Linked DNA regions of Notamacropus eugenii. Each later gene encodes a partner of the first gene's protein in a complex. Links are inferred from orthologs where the notes say so. Each region holds a gene or a part of one and is shown on either strand. Other genes may lie near its edges. The genes, in order: IL22RA2 and IL22.

What was found.
Region 2: the proteins of IL22RA2 (region 1) and IL22 are in contact, whole or in part, in a crystal structure (PDB 3G9V), measured with the Homo sapiens proteins. The link is inferred for Notamacropus eugenii from reciprocal best matches to the Homo sapiens genes IL22RA2 and IL22. Residues at the interface, in NP_443194.1 of Homo sapiens: Lys65, Ile66, Tyr99, Gly100, Gln101, Arg102, Trp104, Gln128, Glu129, Pro130, Tyr132, Met148, Pro150, Arg151, Thr153, Trp155, Trp156, Glu157, Glu200, Pro246, Met247, Leu248, Asp249, Arg250; in NP_065386.1 of Homo sapiens: Phe47, Gln48, Pro50, Thr53, Asn54, Phe57, Met58, Lys61, Ser64, Leu65, Asp67, Asn69, Thr70, Asp71, Val72, Arg73, Leu74, Lys162, Gly165, Glu166, Asp168, Leu169, Met172, Arg175, Asn176.

What each region holds. Positions count from the first base shown.
Region 1 is NC_092873.1:223,567,997-223,576,120, forward strand, and holds the start of IL22RA2 (interleukin-22 receptor subunit alpha-2), read right to left. Parts: upstream 3,143-8,124; 5' UTR 3,062-3,142; coding exon 3,001-3,061; intron 1,345-3,000; exon of another isoform or gene 1,266-1,344; intron 1-1,265. UniProt on the Homo sapiens protein: Isoform 2 is a receptor for IL22. Binds to IL22, prevents interaction with the functional IL-22R complex and blocks the activity of IL22 (in vitro). May play an important role as an IL22 antagonist in the regulation of inflammatory responses.
Region 2 is NC_092874.1:245,595,696-245,603,463, forward strand, and holds the start of IL22 (interleukin-22), read right to left. Parts: upstream 3,041-7,768; 5' UTR 2,771-3,040; intron 1-2,770. Other genes in the region: nuclear protein MDM1, read right to left, coding at 5,684-5,796, 7,081-7,146. UniProt on the Homo sapiens protein: Cytokine that plays a critical role in modulating tissue responses during inflammation. Plays an essential role in the regeneration of epithelial cells to maintain barrier function after injury and for the prevention of further tissue damage.

The DNA.
Region 1 (8,124 bases):
AGTGCTTTCTCATTGACCTGCTTAAATAGATCTGAAAATTCTGTAACACATGAGCATTTCCTAGCAGGAAGCAGGGGTAGAATGAGAGGTGTGGTGATAAAAATTCATCAGAATTATCGTTGTAGCTGATCATCAAAGCCCGAGGTAACTGAGTGGGTTGTGGTAACTTCTAGCCACACAAGTGTTTCTGACATTTTCTGCAAGATTAGCAGAATCAGATTAGCTATATGAACAAGCTTTTATTATAAGGATCTATTATGTACCAGGCACTGTGCTACGTTTTTGTTCTTGCTTTCCTTCCTTCTCAAATATCAGGGAGGTGATGCCATGACTTGCATGACAATTGGATTTAAGTGGGGCAGGGCTGTGCAAAGTCACCAGCCTCACTTTCTCCTCCAGAGCCATCTGGGTCCAGTGGCCAGATATAGGTCAGGACAACTGTGCTAAGTGTTGAGGACACATAGGAAGGCAAAAGACAGTCCCAGCTCTTGAGGAGTTCACAGTCTAATGGAGGAGACAACTTGCAAACAACCATGCACAAACAAGATCTACATTGTTGTTGTTCAGTCATTTTCTAGTCATGTCTGACTCTTTATGACCCAATTTCGGGTTTTTTTGGCAAGGATACTGGAGTGGTTTGCCATTTCCTTCTCCAGCTCATTTGACAGATGAGGAAAATGAGGCATACTGGATTAAGTGATTTGTCCAGGGTCACACAGCTAGTGAGTGTCTGAGTTCACATTTGAACTCAGATCTTCCTGACTCTAGGCCTGTCACTCTATTGGTTGTCGTACCATCCTTATATGTGAGATAATAAATATAGGGAAATGACTAGCATTAAGTAGTACTAAATAGGTTAATACCAATCTGTTATTTTGGTCATAACTCTTGGATTGATAGGATGGAATGAAGCTTGTGGACTAACCCTGCTTTTTTTTGAATATATAACTTTTTTTTTCAGTTTTCAACATTCCCTTCCATAAGAATTTGAATTCCAAATTTTCTCCCCATCCCTCCCACCCCCACCCCAGGACAGTATGCACCCCATCCACCCCTTCTTCCAGTCTGTCCTCCCTTCTATCAACCCCCCTTCTTCCATCTTCCTAGCAATGCTTCTTGATAGGGACCTGGTCAGTTCCCTCTGTCCAAGTTTGGCATCTAGGGGGCATAGGACTTGAAGTCAAGAAGACTTTAATTCAAATTCTGTGCCAGACACTTTGTAGATGTGTGACCCTAACTAGACATTTAACTTCTCTGTGCTTCAGTTTTCTCATCTGTAATCCAGGGATAACAACAGAACCCCACCTCAGAGGAAGATTGCAATGCTCAAACGAATTAACACAGGTAAAGCATTTTGCAATCCTTAAAGATATATGTATGTATGTATGTATATATATGTGTCTGTACATATATAAACACACACACACAGAAATGCTAGCATCATCGTCTCCCCCAGCATCAGTGTGCCTGCTTACAAGTTAGCTCTGGCAAATGGAAAGCTACAATATAAGCAGCACATGCTGTAACAGGCTTGAAGACATACTAGATAGGATGCTAGATGTAGCATTGGAAAGAAAAGAGTTCAAATACTGTTCAAATCCTTCCTAGCTTTTGCAAATCACTTACCATTCTAAGCCCAATTCCTTTTCCTATTCCCAGCAAAGTGGGGATTGAGGAGTCCAAGATGACACCTAGGTTATGAACCGGAGTGACTGGGACAATAGTGTGGTGACCTAGATAGTTAATAGGGAGGTGAAGAAACAGGGAGAGTTGGAGGGTGGGAAAATATAACAAGCTGTTTCTAAAGGTGAATGAATGTAATTGACAAGAAGCAGAAAGTAGCCCCACACTTGCTCACTTCCCTTGGTTTTTCCACTAAATCCTTTCAAAGCAGTGTCTTTCATGTTGGAAACTTGAGTTGATGATATCCCCAATCAAAAAAAGAATATTTAGTATCCCACTCTCCTGTGCTTCCACTTACCTCTCTCCTTCCTCCATTAGAATGTCAACTTCTTGGAGTAAAGGACTGTCATGATTTATCTCTGAATATTCAGTACTTAATATGGTCCCTTGCACATAACAGGTGCTTAATAAATGCATTTAAAAAAAAGTAATTAAATCCTGATATCTGTCAACAAAATGTATACATAGTTTTAACTCTTCATGGATCAGATGGAATAAATGTTGAAGGCAAACCCTTGAGGATTACAAGTTTTTAGGCAACTTTATCCTTTGTCCTTCATTTTTCCACAATGCCTAACGTTGTTATTGTTCATTCATTTCAGTCGTCTGACTCTTCATGACCCTGGTGTCTGATAAAAATGATTTTTTTAAATTTTTTATTGCTTCTTCCTTTCTACTCAAAGATAATCCAACCCTTGGGAAAAAATCTGTGACCAAAAACAAGGATTATTTCTCACCTTGTTTCAACAAAGGATGAGAGCTATTTATAACAGGTAATAAGTCAAAAGATTCTCAGGAAATAACAGAAGTCATTTACCATGGACCCATGGCAAACTGGGTCACCTAGAGGTAAAAAGTGCCACTTCTTTCGTGACTTAATCCTCTTCTCACTACACACATACGTGCACACAGAAATAAGACACTCCATAGATCTAGAGCTCCAGCAAAGACTCAACTTCAGCTTCCCTATATGTAAAATGGGGTTACTACCATTAAAGGGCTACACTAAACTTACAGAGATACTGAGGTAATAAGTGACAATGCTTTGAGAGAAGAAAAAATTAATTTCAAAAATACAAAATTACATGACATCTAGATGTAATTTACTATTAATTTATATAATAAACATCTAGATGTAATTTACTATTTTGATGCCCCTCAATTTGCTGTCTACCCCGAAACACATTAAGATAAGGAATAGATCCTATAGAGACAAAGAAAAGAGCCAGTGGGGTTTCCAGAGTGTCTTGGTTGTTCAGTTTATGAAAAGAAAAAGACTCCTAATAACAAATTAAAAAAAAAAATTGGAACACTTACCTCCTCCATGAATCCAGAGGAATTCAATAAGGAAGCTTATAAAGCAGTGTTTAAGCATCATGGTTAGACTATGACTATGAGAAACAAATATTCTGCTGCATAAAAAGACACCTCCAATCTACCCTGTTCCTTATATCTATAAATAGGTTGAAAAAAAGGAAGTGAAAACTATGTTTTTAGATTTTCCTTTGCAAGGTATTTTAAAGTACTGTCCCTTTTTAAAGTGACAGTGTCTTTAAAAACTGCTTCATTAAAGTACTGTCCCTTTGAAATTACTGCCACAAAGTACTACCGCACGGGGCAGAAAAAGATACTTTTGTGTGAAGAAAAAAGTTAAATGAACTGGTAAAGGATATAGGGTATTACTGTTTTTATAAATAAATAGTTTGAAGGCTAAAAGGAACAGGAAAAAAAATCATCATTTAATAAAAATGACTAAAATATATGTGTAAAGAAAAATAGCTTTCAGATTGAATTTGAGAAGTTAAGAATAGAACTCTATCACCTTGTAAAAGACAAAGGTGATGCTTCATTTGTATGTGAATATCTGATGGCTTAAAGGGACACAGAACTCTTATTAATTAAAAACTGATGAAATGTATGTATGAAGAAATACAGTTTTCAAAGACAAAGAATGTTGTATAGGATCATTTTGAGAAATGATTAATAGAGTTTAAGGGTATTATGGTCTCAAGCTCATTTCTGTGTAACCATTAGAAGATTGTAAGAGGGTCAAACAAAAGTTTTGTAAAAATCATATAACTGGAAATTAAGGAGATTGAAATAAATATTGTTGTTTTCATAGGGGAAATTTGGTGAATTGTTACATCCTAAGTGAAAGGTAATACTGAGTGATTCCAGGTGATTCTGATTTAAGTCACTGAAAAAGGCTGGAGGGTTAGGCTATGCTGTTATGCTAAAGATGCTGACTCTAAGCCCAGGGCTCTATCTACTGTCACCCATCTGCCCTTTGGAGTCAGAAGATCTATACCCAAACCATAACTGTTTTTTTTTTCTTAAGATAGTCATCTATCCTCCCAGGGTTCCATTTGCCTGGTCTATAAAATGAAGCAGAAAGGCTAGATGTTTATTAAGATTCTTTCCAGGACTTTATCTTACAATTTTAGATGATCACTAAAGTTCCTTTCAGGTTGAAATCTAACGATTTATGAAAAGAACTGGAAATAGAACCCTACTTGTTGACCTGAGTCTACCCACCGGGACCGACACTTGAATTTAGCCTAAACTTTTCTAGAAAGTAATCGCTATTTTACTAATGGACTTCAAGCAAATGGATGTGACTCTTTTGCTCACTTATTGATCTCTGGTGGCTTTGATCAAAGACTCTATATTCACTAATTTTACGTCTTCATCTTATCCATACTATAAACAAACTCCCACTCGTCATCCTTACCATAACTATCTGTGTGTATGTTGTGTGCGTGTGTGTGTGTGTGCATGTGCGTGTGTGTGTTTAGTTAGGTTTGACTCTTCATGACCCCATTTGGAATATTCGTGGCAAAAATACTGAAGTAGTTTGCCATTTCCTTCTCCTTCTTATTATACAGATGAGGAACTGAGGCAAACAAACAGAGTTAAGTGAACTGCCCACAGCTACCTAAGTAAGTGTCTGAGGCCAAATTTGAATTCAGGAAGATGAGTTTTCATGACGTCAGGGATGACTCTCTATTCACTGTAGCTAGCTGTCCCACCCATCTACATAGACACCCCACCTCACCCCCCACCCCTGCCCCAAACCACCACCAAAAAGGCTGGCCAGATTTTAGTCCAAAAGGCCATCCCATTTGGCCCCTAGAGCACAGGATAGTTTCTGAGCAGGGGAATGTTGCAGAACAGTAAATTTGGCTGTAATGTGGAGGATAAATGAAACTCTAGGTAGCCAGACAACATAAGACATTATGAAGGAAGAACTATAGGGATGTGTATGTAGTCTTAAAGATTTATTGACTTTTTGTTTAGACTTGTGATTTCATTGGTGAAGGAAACTTCTAGTGAGGAAACTCCTACCAATGAAGATCTGCATCTGTGATTTATAATCTTAGAGATTTGCCTAGGATTCAGAAAAATTAAGTCATTTGCCCACATCACCCAATCAATATGTATCAGACACAGAAATTGAAAGCAAGTGAGGAGGGCTCTCTATCCACTATTCCATGTTCCTTCTCAGACTTAAAGTTTAGGAGACCAAAAAATGATTGAGTGTCTGAGAGGATAATTGACAAAAAAAAAAAAAAAAAAAAGGAAAATCCCTGTTTCAATGGTGGAAAATTCCCCTTCCTAAGTCATACAATCTCATGATTGTAGACGGCATACAGCAGACTATAACCATTGGGAAAAACAGTGACCAAAAAAAAAAGTTAAATTAGAGTTAAAAAAAAACCTTCATGTGGTTAATCTAAGAGTTGTGAAACTTTTTTTTTTTATCAATATTAGTATTCACAGAAAAAAGGTTATGATGATGGGAACTGAATTTATAGGCAGATTGCCACTTTTTTTTTTATTGAACTACCTCAGATTGGAGGATGAGAAGACATTTAAAAAACTACCCTTCTTTTTCTTTTTGTCAACAATGAATGTGGATACAAATAGAATTAATCAATAGGTATTGGAGCTACTTAGACAAAAATGAAAGTACCTGACCTTAAGGAGCTTACTTTATTTGGGGTGGGAATAGAGCAAATTTATGTGTACAAGTATATACGAAATATCTATTAGTCCAGGTTCCCAGGTAATCCTGGGGAAATTTGCATATGCAGAAGGAAACCTCCATTTGGTGGAAAGAATTCTGAATGTTATAAGCTTACATGAGAAGTAGAGTTGATATAAGAGCTTTGGAGAGGAGAGACGTTCCTTCTTTGAGAGAGGACATGTTGTGCCAAACATTTAAAAACTACTCCAGACATGTGGAAAGAAAGACTTGTAATGTTAAAGGGATATTAAGATCTTCCCCTCGCTTCATGTGGAGCCCATTGTGGGAGCGACTTGTCTCAGGAGGAACTTGCTTGTGATAAGGTTTCCACACCTTTTGGTACTAAGTTGATTAGGCACTGAGTCACGAGGGTTGTGATGCCTTTTGGTATATATACTCTGAGTTGCTATTTTACTTTGGGGGTTCACTTAGGAGAAGGATCTTTTGGTTTTCTGATTGAGACTCTGAGTGTAGGTTCAGAACCCCCTAACCACCGGAAGTTTGTGCTCCCTTGATAGTGATGTATGTAAAGTGCATAGCAATATTGCTTTACTCTGATAATTGGAGCCCTGTTTGTTGGTCTTCATGCTAATTTCTCGGCTTATATTTTCTGTTTGTATTTTCATCAAGTTCAGTGTGCTGACCTTTCCCCTGAACTAGTGAATGTATTTAAAAACAGAATTGTTAACCTCTTTTTGAGCACTTTCTTTTAAAAGCAGATCAAAGAACCTGTGCTAGTAGGTCATTCTGGGTTGCTAGGGTGCTTGCTACTATGAGACTTTAGAATCTGTGAATGTGTAAGCAAAGCCAGATCCTCAACATGTCCCTGATTTCCAATTTGTCTCCCTAGAAACTTTAGGGAATTTCTTGTTGGACAAGATACAGGCTTCTCTCTTGGTTGAGCTGCGATCCTATCTTGCTCTAATCTAAAGAACTCCTTTACTCTGTATTTTCTGGTATATTATAATCTGATTTCTGTTTTCTATATACTAGGATAAATAGATTTACTTACTATTCATTATTTTGGAAGGTCTTTTGGCAGGAAAGGGCCAAGCCAATGAGTATAGGCTTGGGGCGTTTTTCCTCTTTAAGGAATACCTTCCAGGATGTGGCTTTCTTCTGAATCTAGGTATACCAACATCATCTATACTGGGAGGTTGGGTGGACAGATAGTAGACTTCAGAATGGTTGGACTTCAGGAATGCTGAACAAAGCAAGTTGGATTTTGAAGGGTTTTAAAAGCAAAATATAAGAGTTTATATTGGATCCCAAAAGCAAAAGGGAGATACTGGGGTTTATTGAGTAGGGAAGGAAAGATAATTTTAATATTGGGTTCTTAATAGAATTGATTGAATTGAATAAACACAGATTGCTAATAAAAGTAATTAACTGACCCTCACAGACATTTAGATGTCATTTCAATACTATCTAATGGGACTTCAGGATCTTACTGTGTATACTGTTGTGATGCATAAATTCATTAGGATATTCTGATCTTGTGCAATCTGGCTCTAATCTTATTCCTAGCCAAAAGTTGGTTTGTGATGTTTGCTACCAGAGAGGATTGGCCATGCCTCCCAGAATGAGACATTCCTAAACAGAAATGCTCTCAAGGATGTTTTGAGAACAGCTCCTTTCCCACCAGTCACACATATAATTGGCAAAATGCCTTTCTTGATTAGAAAGAACTACTAAGGGTGAGTAGCCCCTCCCCGCTTTCCCCCCTTGGTACTGATGCATAGTTTAGGATTATCCCATCGAGACTCTGGAGGCTGACCTGGGACTCCCCAGCCACATATATGTGATCCATTTGTAGGTAATTGCCCCATCAGTGCTTATCGATTGTGATAAGGTTGTGACACACCTACTGAGACTTACTGATTGTGGCATAACTTGAGATTTACTGATTGAGACATAAGTATTGGGACTTACTGATTGAGACCTTTATTATTATTATTAATAAATACTAGTACTATATGTATGTATAAATGTATGTATATCACACATATACATACATATATACATAATATAAATGTATGTATATCACACATATACATACATATATACATACACATACACACATGTATGTATGTGTGTGTGTATATATATATATATATATATATATATATATATATATATATATATATATATATATATATAAACTTGAGATTCTGTGTCATTTCTAAACCAAACTGTAACTAAATTAAGCTGCAGCAAATAAGGTTGCTGCACAATACAACTGTGTACTGCAGAATATGGCCTAAGAACTCTTCCTAGCAATTGAACCCAACCCCTGCTGATACATATTCTCATTTGTCTAGGCCCATCCCCTCATCCATTGACTCTTCTCACTTTCTAAACTTCTTGTCACAGAAGGCAGAGCTCAATCAGCCCAGCCTGGCTCCCAACAGCAG
Region 2 (7,768 bases), on another chromosome or scaffold:
CCCGCCTGGTTGCATACTGGGCATGGTCCCAGAGGAGTCGGTCCTGGGAGCTTCCTCTGGAGGGGTGCCTTAGAGGGGCATTCTTTGGACCAGTGGCCCTCCTTGTGGCATTGAAAGCAGGTCTCACCACTACCCAAGTTACCAGGAATACCTTCAGGTCTTTTCCTGCCTATGGCAGCAGCCAAGAACTGAGCATGTGCTCTGTCTTCGTGCTCTTTTTCCTCCGCTTTGGCTAAGTCTCTGTTGTTGAAGACTCCAAAGGCTATCTCCAGTAATTGGGCTTGAGGTATTTAGGGTACCATTGTCAATTTCTGCAGTTTCCTCCTAATATCTGGGGCAGATTGATTAATGAAATACATGCTAAGGATTGCTGCCCCTTCCATAGAGTCAGGACCTAAATTTGTTATATTTGTTAATAGCCTCTCTATCAACCTGTCTTGGAAAAGGGCAGGGTTTTCCTTTTCTCTCTGAATAATTTCTTTAATCTTTTGAAAATGTATCAGATTGGAGGGCAGAGCCAAGATGGCCAAATAACAGTGAGAACTTTCTAGAGCATTCCCACCAAGCCCAGTCAAATATCTGTAAAAAAAATAGCTCTAAACAAATTCTGGAGCTGCAGAACTCACAGAAGGTCAGAGTGAAGCAAATCTCCAGTCAAAGATAGCATGGAAGGTTGCTGGGAAGTGTATATCACACCACGCAGGAGGCAGAGCGCAGTCCAATGTGGGCCATGTATGCACAGAGGGGACTTGAGTAGGCCTTGGGGAGACTAAATCTCTCATACGTGTGGTGATTTCCAGACTCCATGACCCCAAAATGCTGAGGATAAATTGGAAGGTCAGTGGAAAAAGCCTGTGAGACCAATGAAGAAGAGTAGAGTGGTCTGGCCCCAGTTCCAGGGCGGCGGGGGGGAGGGAACACAGCAGCAGCAGAGGTAGCTGCAGCCACTGTTTCTGGAGCTCTAGGCCCACTTACTGGGGGGGTAGGGAGGGAGGAGATCAGGAGGCTGACTATTCCCTCCACCCCCACTACAAGCGGAGAACTACCTTGACAAAGAGCTCAAAAGTCAAGTAAATGGCTGGGGAAATGAGCAAAAACCAGAAAAAGAATCAAACTATAGAATTTTACTTTAATGACAAGGAGGACCAAAGCATGTCAACAGAAGAAAACAAAGTCAAAGCTCCTCCATTCAAAACCACCAAGAAAAATATGAATTGATCTCAGACCATGGAAGGGCTCAGAAAGTGAAGTAAGAGAAGTAAAGCAAAAATTGGGAAGATAAATGAAAGTGATACAAGAAAATCATGAAAAATGAGTCAATTGCTTGCTAAAGAAGACCCCAAAAAAAATGCTGAAGAAAATAACACTTTTAAAAATAGACTAAGTCAAATGACAAAAGAAATCCAAAAAGGCAATGAGGAGAAGAATGCCCTAAAAAGCAGAAATGGCCACATGGAAAAGGAGATCCAAAAGCTCCCTGAAGAAAATAATTCCTTAAAGAATAGAAAGGAGCAGATGGAAGCTAATGACTTTATGAAAAGTCATCATAAAGATGACTTTATGAAAAATCAAAAAATTATAAAGTAAAACAAAGGAATGAAAAAATAGAAGACAATGTGAACTATCTCACTGGAAAAACAACTGACCTGGAAAATAGATCCAGAAGAGACAATTTAAAAATTATGGGATCACTGAAAGTCATGATCAAAAAAAGAGCCTAGACATCATCTTTCATGAAATTATCAAAGAAAACTGCCCTGAGATTCTAGAACTAGAGGGCAAAATAAATATTGAAAGACTCCACTGGTCACTTCCTGAAAGAAATCCCAAAAGAAAAACTCCTAGGAATATTCTAGCCAAATTCCAGAATTCCCAGGTCAAGGAGAAAATATTGCAAGCAGTCAAAAAGAAACAATTCAAGTATTGTGGAAATATAATCAGGATAACACAAGATCTAGCAGCTTCTACATTAAGGGATCAAAGGGCTTAGAATATGATATTCCAGAGGTCAAAGGAGCTAGGATTATAACCAAGAATCACCTACCCAGCAAAACTGAGTATAATACTTCAGGGAAAAAAAATGGTCATTCAATGAAATAGAAGACTTGCAAGCATTCTTGTTGAAAAGACCAGAGCTGAATAGAAAATTTGACTTTCAAACACAAGAATCAAGAGAAGCATGAAAAGGTAAACAGGAAAGAGAACTCATAAGGGATTTACTAAAGTTGAACTGTTTACATTCCTACATTGTAAGGTCACAAAAATGGGTCATACTTCGTGGTTCTCCAGGTGATACTGAGGCCAAACAGTGTTGCAAACGAACACCAACTTTTTCTTTTTAAGTTCTTTAGGGAAGCTAATTTTTTCCCAATTTTGTAAAAGACAACCCAAAGGCAAATTTTGAGGGTTTGAAGAGGATTAATCCATTACAGATGTGAGGCTGGTAGTCCCTCCCTCTGTAAAGAAGGATGTGGGAGTAAGCCTTGAAAAAAAAAGAAAGAAAAAGTAACATTTTCCTAATTCCCTAGCACTGAGGGAATTGAGAGTTGGGCATACACTTCCCAATAGGGTGTCTGTCCTTGTCTGTGCTTTGGAGGGTGTGCCCAGATTCACAACCTCAAACATAGCCACTGGACTGACAACCTGAGAGCATCAAGTTGAGTACAAGACAGCCTTTTATCTGCCTGATCTACTGGGACCTGAGGGGTCAGGTCCAAAAACCCCTTCCAAGGTGCCTGAAGGAGATAGGGAGAGGGGGAAGCTTACATACCTTCCAGTCTTGGCAGAAGAACTGGAAATTAGCAGTTCTTCCTGATCAGGGAACCAAAATGTTGAGGTTTGGGGTCCTGGGGATCCCAAAATACCGACATGCTGGGTTCTGCTCAAATGAATTCTACACAAATCTCCTTAAAGCCAAACAAAAACTAACTTTATAAAAGATTCGTCACATTGAATTGACTCTTAAGGAGCCTAAGCATTTGTAATGCTTGTATTAACAGAATCTCAGCTAGATAGAGTCTGAGCTGGATTGAATGTGAGCGCCTTCATGGAGGTGAGATGGAACTTAAATACAGGAAAAGAGTGAGGGAAGAATCCAGGCGTGGCCAAGCAGTCTCGGTCCCAGGGATGGTCTTGATAAGGGAGGTCAGCCTGCAATGTAGATCAAACCCAGGGAGGATGGGGGTGGTTGGTAGTCCAGACAATCCACAATCCTGGCTAGGTGACTGGGACCTCAAAAGAATGCTAAGTAATGGCCAATAGGGAATATGAAAAGAATGCTAATAGGATCCAAGGTAGGAATATGAAAAGAATGCTGAATCTAGTAAGGGGAATCCAAGGAACCCCCAAAGGCCAAGCTTTCCAGGGCCCCTCAGACAGATGGGACAAAGGCCCTCCAGTTCCAAGAGAAAAAGGTCTCAACTTGGACTTGTACCCCATTGAGTGGGATAGACTTGGTGAAGACTCCTCAGATTGTGGTTTTCTCCCAAGGGTGAGGTGGGGCCGGGAGGCTCGGGGCTGCAGTGTTTTTGGAATAGAATAGTTCCATATAAGGTATAAAACTGTGTGGTGTACTGGGGTCTCAATGATTGGACAAAACTTGCGTAATTCCTCGGTGTCTTCATTTCAAAGGGATTGGTTAGATTTCGTGTCTAGAATGTAAGACCATATCCTCAGCTAATGAGGATAATGGTCAGTGGGGGGAGGAGGGACTTGCGTTAGGGTTTATAAATCACTGTCCTGATTTTTGTCTTCGGCTTTCCTACTCCTACAGGTGAGCCCCGCTTCTCGAGAATCGAATAAATCACTTTTCTGTCATCACTTTGAGAGGCCTCTAAGTAACTGATTTATGTAGGGACCTGAGCCATCCCACACACCATCAATTTTACAGATGAGGAAATCGAGGCAAACAGGGTTAAGTGACTTGTCTAGCATCACACACAGACAGCGTCGGTGGCTTAATTTGAACCCACGTCTTCCTAACTTCAGATCCTGCACTCTATCCACTGTACCACCTAACTGCCTGGCATGTAATAGGTGTTTGATTAATATTTATTGAACTGAATTGCCTGAACTGTTGCAAAAATCTGCTGGTTGGTTCCCCTGTCTCAGCTATCCAAAATCCTGTCTTTTCTCCACTCAGTTTCCAAAGTGATCTTCCCAAAACACTTACCATCACTCCATTTCAGGAAACTCCAATGGCTTCCTATCACCCTGAAATCAAATAAAAAATTCTGCTTGGCTTTTAAAGTCCTTCACAGCCTGGCTCCTTCCTCCCTTTCCAGGCTTGGTGCACTTGATTCCTCTCCACTTCCTCTACCGTCCACTGAGCCCCAACATTTCCAAGGACGGTGCCCAACCCCCACATCCCTTTCTCCACAGTCTATTTCATGGATTCCTTGGCTTCCTTCAACTCAGTTCAAACCCCTTTTCGAAGAAGCTTTTCCTGGTCCTCCCTCACTGCTAGTGTCTTTGCTCAGAGATCACTTTCCACTTAGACTGTATTCATCTTGTTTGCACCTAACTGTTTTCATGTGGTCTCTCCCATTAGAATACAGTGACTCCTGAGGGCAGAGACTCTTTTTTACTTTTTTTGTATCTTCAATACTTAGTAGAGTGTCTAGCTAGCATACACTTAGTGCTAAATAAACGCTTTTTCACTTATGTGTGCCCTATAAGTAAAGAGAAGAGATTAAAGATACTGATTCTCTAATGTCTTCCTTAACATTCTTATCCTCCCCCACTACAAAAAGGTGAAAGATCTGGATTCATCTTCTATTGTATTGCAACAAAAGCTTTAAAGGAAGTACAGAAAACTTTGGCCACCTTGCTCTTGGAGGAAAAACTTTGTAAAAAGATTACTACAGTTCCATGAAATAACTTTCTGGAGAAACCAAACACTCTTGATGTTTTTTTTTATTTGAAAATGTCTAAAAAGTTTCAACACTTCATTATACAAATAACTTTTCCACTTTCAAACATTAAAATGTAAGACAAAGTTCTTATACAAATGAAAAACACAGACCAAAAATATACATTATTTTTAAGCAAACTTTCTCGTATAAGATAAAAAATATATATACAGTTAATATTTTCAACCTAAATACAATTATTTTAATCATACTAAAAGTAACTTTCTGAAGGAAATTTTTTTAAAATTAAAAAATACTAAAAAAAAATTTTTTAAATTAAAAAATAGTAGAAGTGAACATTGTGGGTACACATTCAATTTATGCTATCTTTAATTTATAAACATAGGTAACAGATCCTACAAAACCACACATTTCAAACTTAGTTCTTCATTTTTACAGTTTAACTTTTCAGAATACTCTTGGTAACATGGATGTAACTCTCAATCCTACCAACAACGCTTGATAAGAAATAGTTAAATTCAGAATTGTGAAGGACTGAGTAAATCCATTAGTGCCTTTTTAGATAAGTCTAAAATGGCAATGAATTTAAAGTTAAAACTCAATTTGTCTACATAAAGAAAACAAATTAAATGACTGAACTGAAATGGCTATTAGAATACAATTATTCATATCCCTAGACAAAACCAACCTTCCCTTCTCCCCAAAATACAAGAATCCCAAATACTTTAAAAACCTCAACTCCATATGGAATGAAAATAAAAATAATCACAGAAATAGTAAACAAAAATGGAAAGAGCTAGCCATAAAGAGCACTATTTTTTGCCCCAAAAACTCTCTTTCCTTTTCTGAGCACGTGCCAAAGTTTGAGAAGCCATCAGACTAGAGGCTGCAGACCGAGCAGAGATCTGGGACAATCTGTCATCATCTACAATGGAAAAATCCACAATTACAAGTCAGGGTAACCAAAACCAATCATTCCTTGTTGTGTTCATAACAATTCAGTAGAAAATTCAGCCACAAATACCAAAAAGTCCTATAACATAACAGCATCAGAACAGGAAAGCTAGAAGCCAGAAGCTCCAAGGTGACTTAATAGATCAAACCCTTCATTTTACAGATGAGAGAACTGAATCCCAAAAATGTGAAGTGACACAGGACAAAGTCACCAAACTGACAAACAGGAAAAATGGGCCCAGATCCCAGCCTCCTTGTTTATAACCCATCAACACCACTCATGATTCTGGGTTTCTGTTCTTAAAAGCAGAATATAGATGAATATGCTCCATACTATGAGTATTATGGCATATCTTTAAAACTTTAAGACAATTTAGAGAAAAAGAAACTGCTTCTAATTTCAGGAGCTTGTAATTCAATTAAGGAGGGCAGCTAGGTGGCAAGGTATAGACTACTGTGCCTGGGGTCAGGAAGACTCATCTTCAGGAGTTCAAGTTTGGTCTCAGACACTTATTAGGTGTGTGACCCTCGGCAAATCACTCAACCCTGTTTGCCACAGTTTTCTCATCTGTAAAGTGAGCTGGAGAAGGAAATGGCAAACCACTCCAATATCTTTCCTAAGAAAATCCCAAATAGAGTCTCAAAGAGTTGGACACAAATGAAAAATAAATTCAATTAAGTACTCAATTTTCTTCCTCAGTTTTCTGTTCAGGAAAATTTGGCTGAAAGCTTAATGGGGAAAAAAAAAAAGTCTATCTTTAAAAAAATGTGCATTAAGAAATCTCTCAAGTATTATCATTTTTAAGTGTATAATGATTTAATAACTATTTGCTAAATCTTCAAAAAAGACACCTCAGAGGGCTACTAATGCAGGGGGAAAATATCAAACCCTGAAATATGGGAATATAAATACATGTATTTTAGTAATTAAATTAATAATTGAGAAATTCAAGCATATTTTGTTAATAATCACTTATACTTTCTACAAACATTCTCATCAAGCTTTCAGAGCTCTTCCTACTGAGACTAATAACAATCAGTGAGGGTGAAAATTATGCACTGAAAAAAATGTATTTGCTCTTCAATTAGACAGAAAAGGGTTTCTGAGGAAAAAATATACAAGTAAACACAGGCAATTAAAATATATAAAATATTACTCTAGACCCAAATCCTAATCTGTGGGCTGGATCCATGAAATGGTTACTTTTAGAAACCTTACATATTATCAAATCTTACTCAGTTTTTAGTAAATTACCTTCATCATTAATGACTTCTTGGTGAGGTAAATGGTAAAGGCCTGTTCTTGGGCTCACAAGGTTTCCTATGGGGGGAAAAAAGCAAAACAGATTTTGTTCTGGCTCTAAACAGCTGATTCCTTTATACAAAACCACTTATAGAAGGCAAACTACAAAATATCAATTTTATCATTTTTATAAATATAAAAGCCTGATACAGCTGTCTAGTAAAGGTGTCCACTAACACGTGGACAGGCTGTCAGACTTACAGTGCTAACTAAGATGATAATTGCTAAGCTGGACATGCACGCAGTTAGACAATGCCCATTATTCATTTGATTTTTAGGGGATTGTGGTGAGGGGAAGGGTCCTTCAGGGGCTGCTTTTAGCAATCTGAACTGTCTCTACTGTACTTTAAATGTCACTTGTTGGATGTAGAAACTAACAGCATATGAAATACTGCTGAATCACATCATTTTCACAATATGTGTGTGGCTATGAAGTAAGAGGTTTGTCCTACGCGTTACTACCAGTTATCAATCTCATTACTTCAGTTGTGAGACACGTCCAATGCTGTTGACAACATCTTTATAAACAATTTAATTAGCATAACATACAACACATGTATATATGTACATATACCTACATTTGAATGTGTATCTCAGTGTGATATATAACAGTACAACATAGGTTTTAAAGAAAAAGATT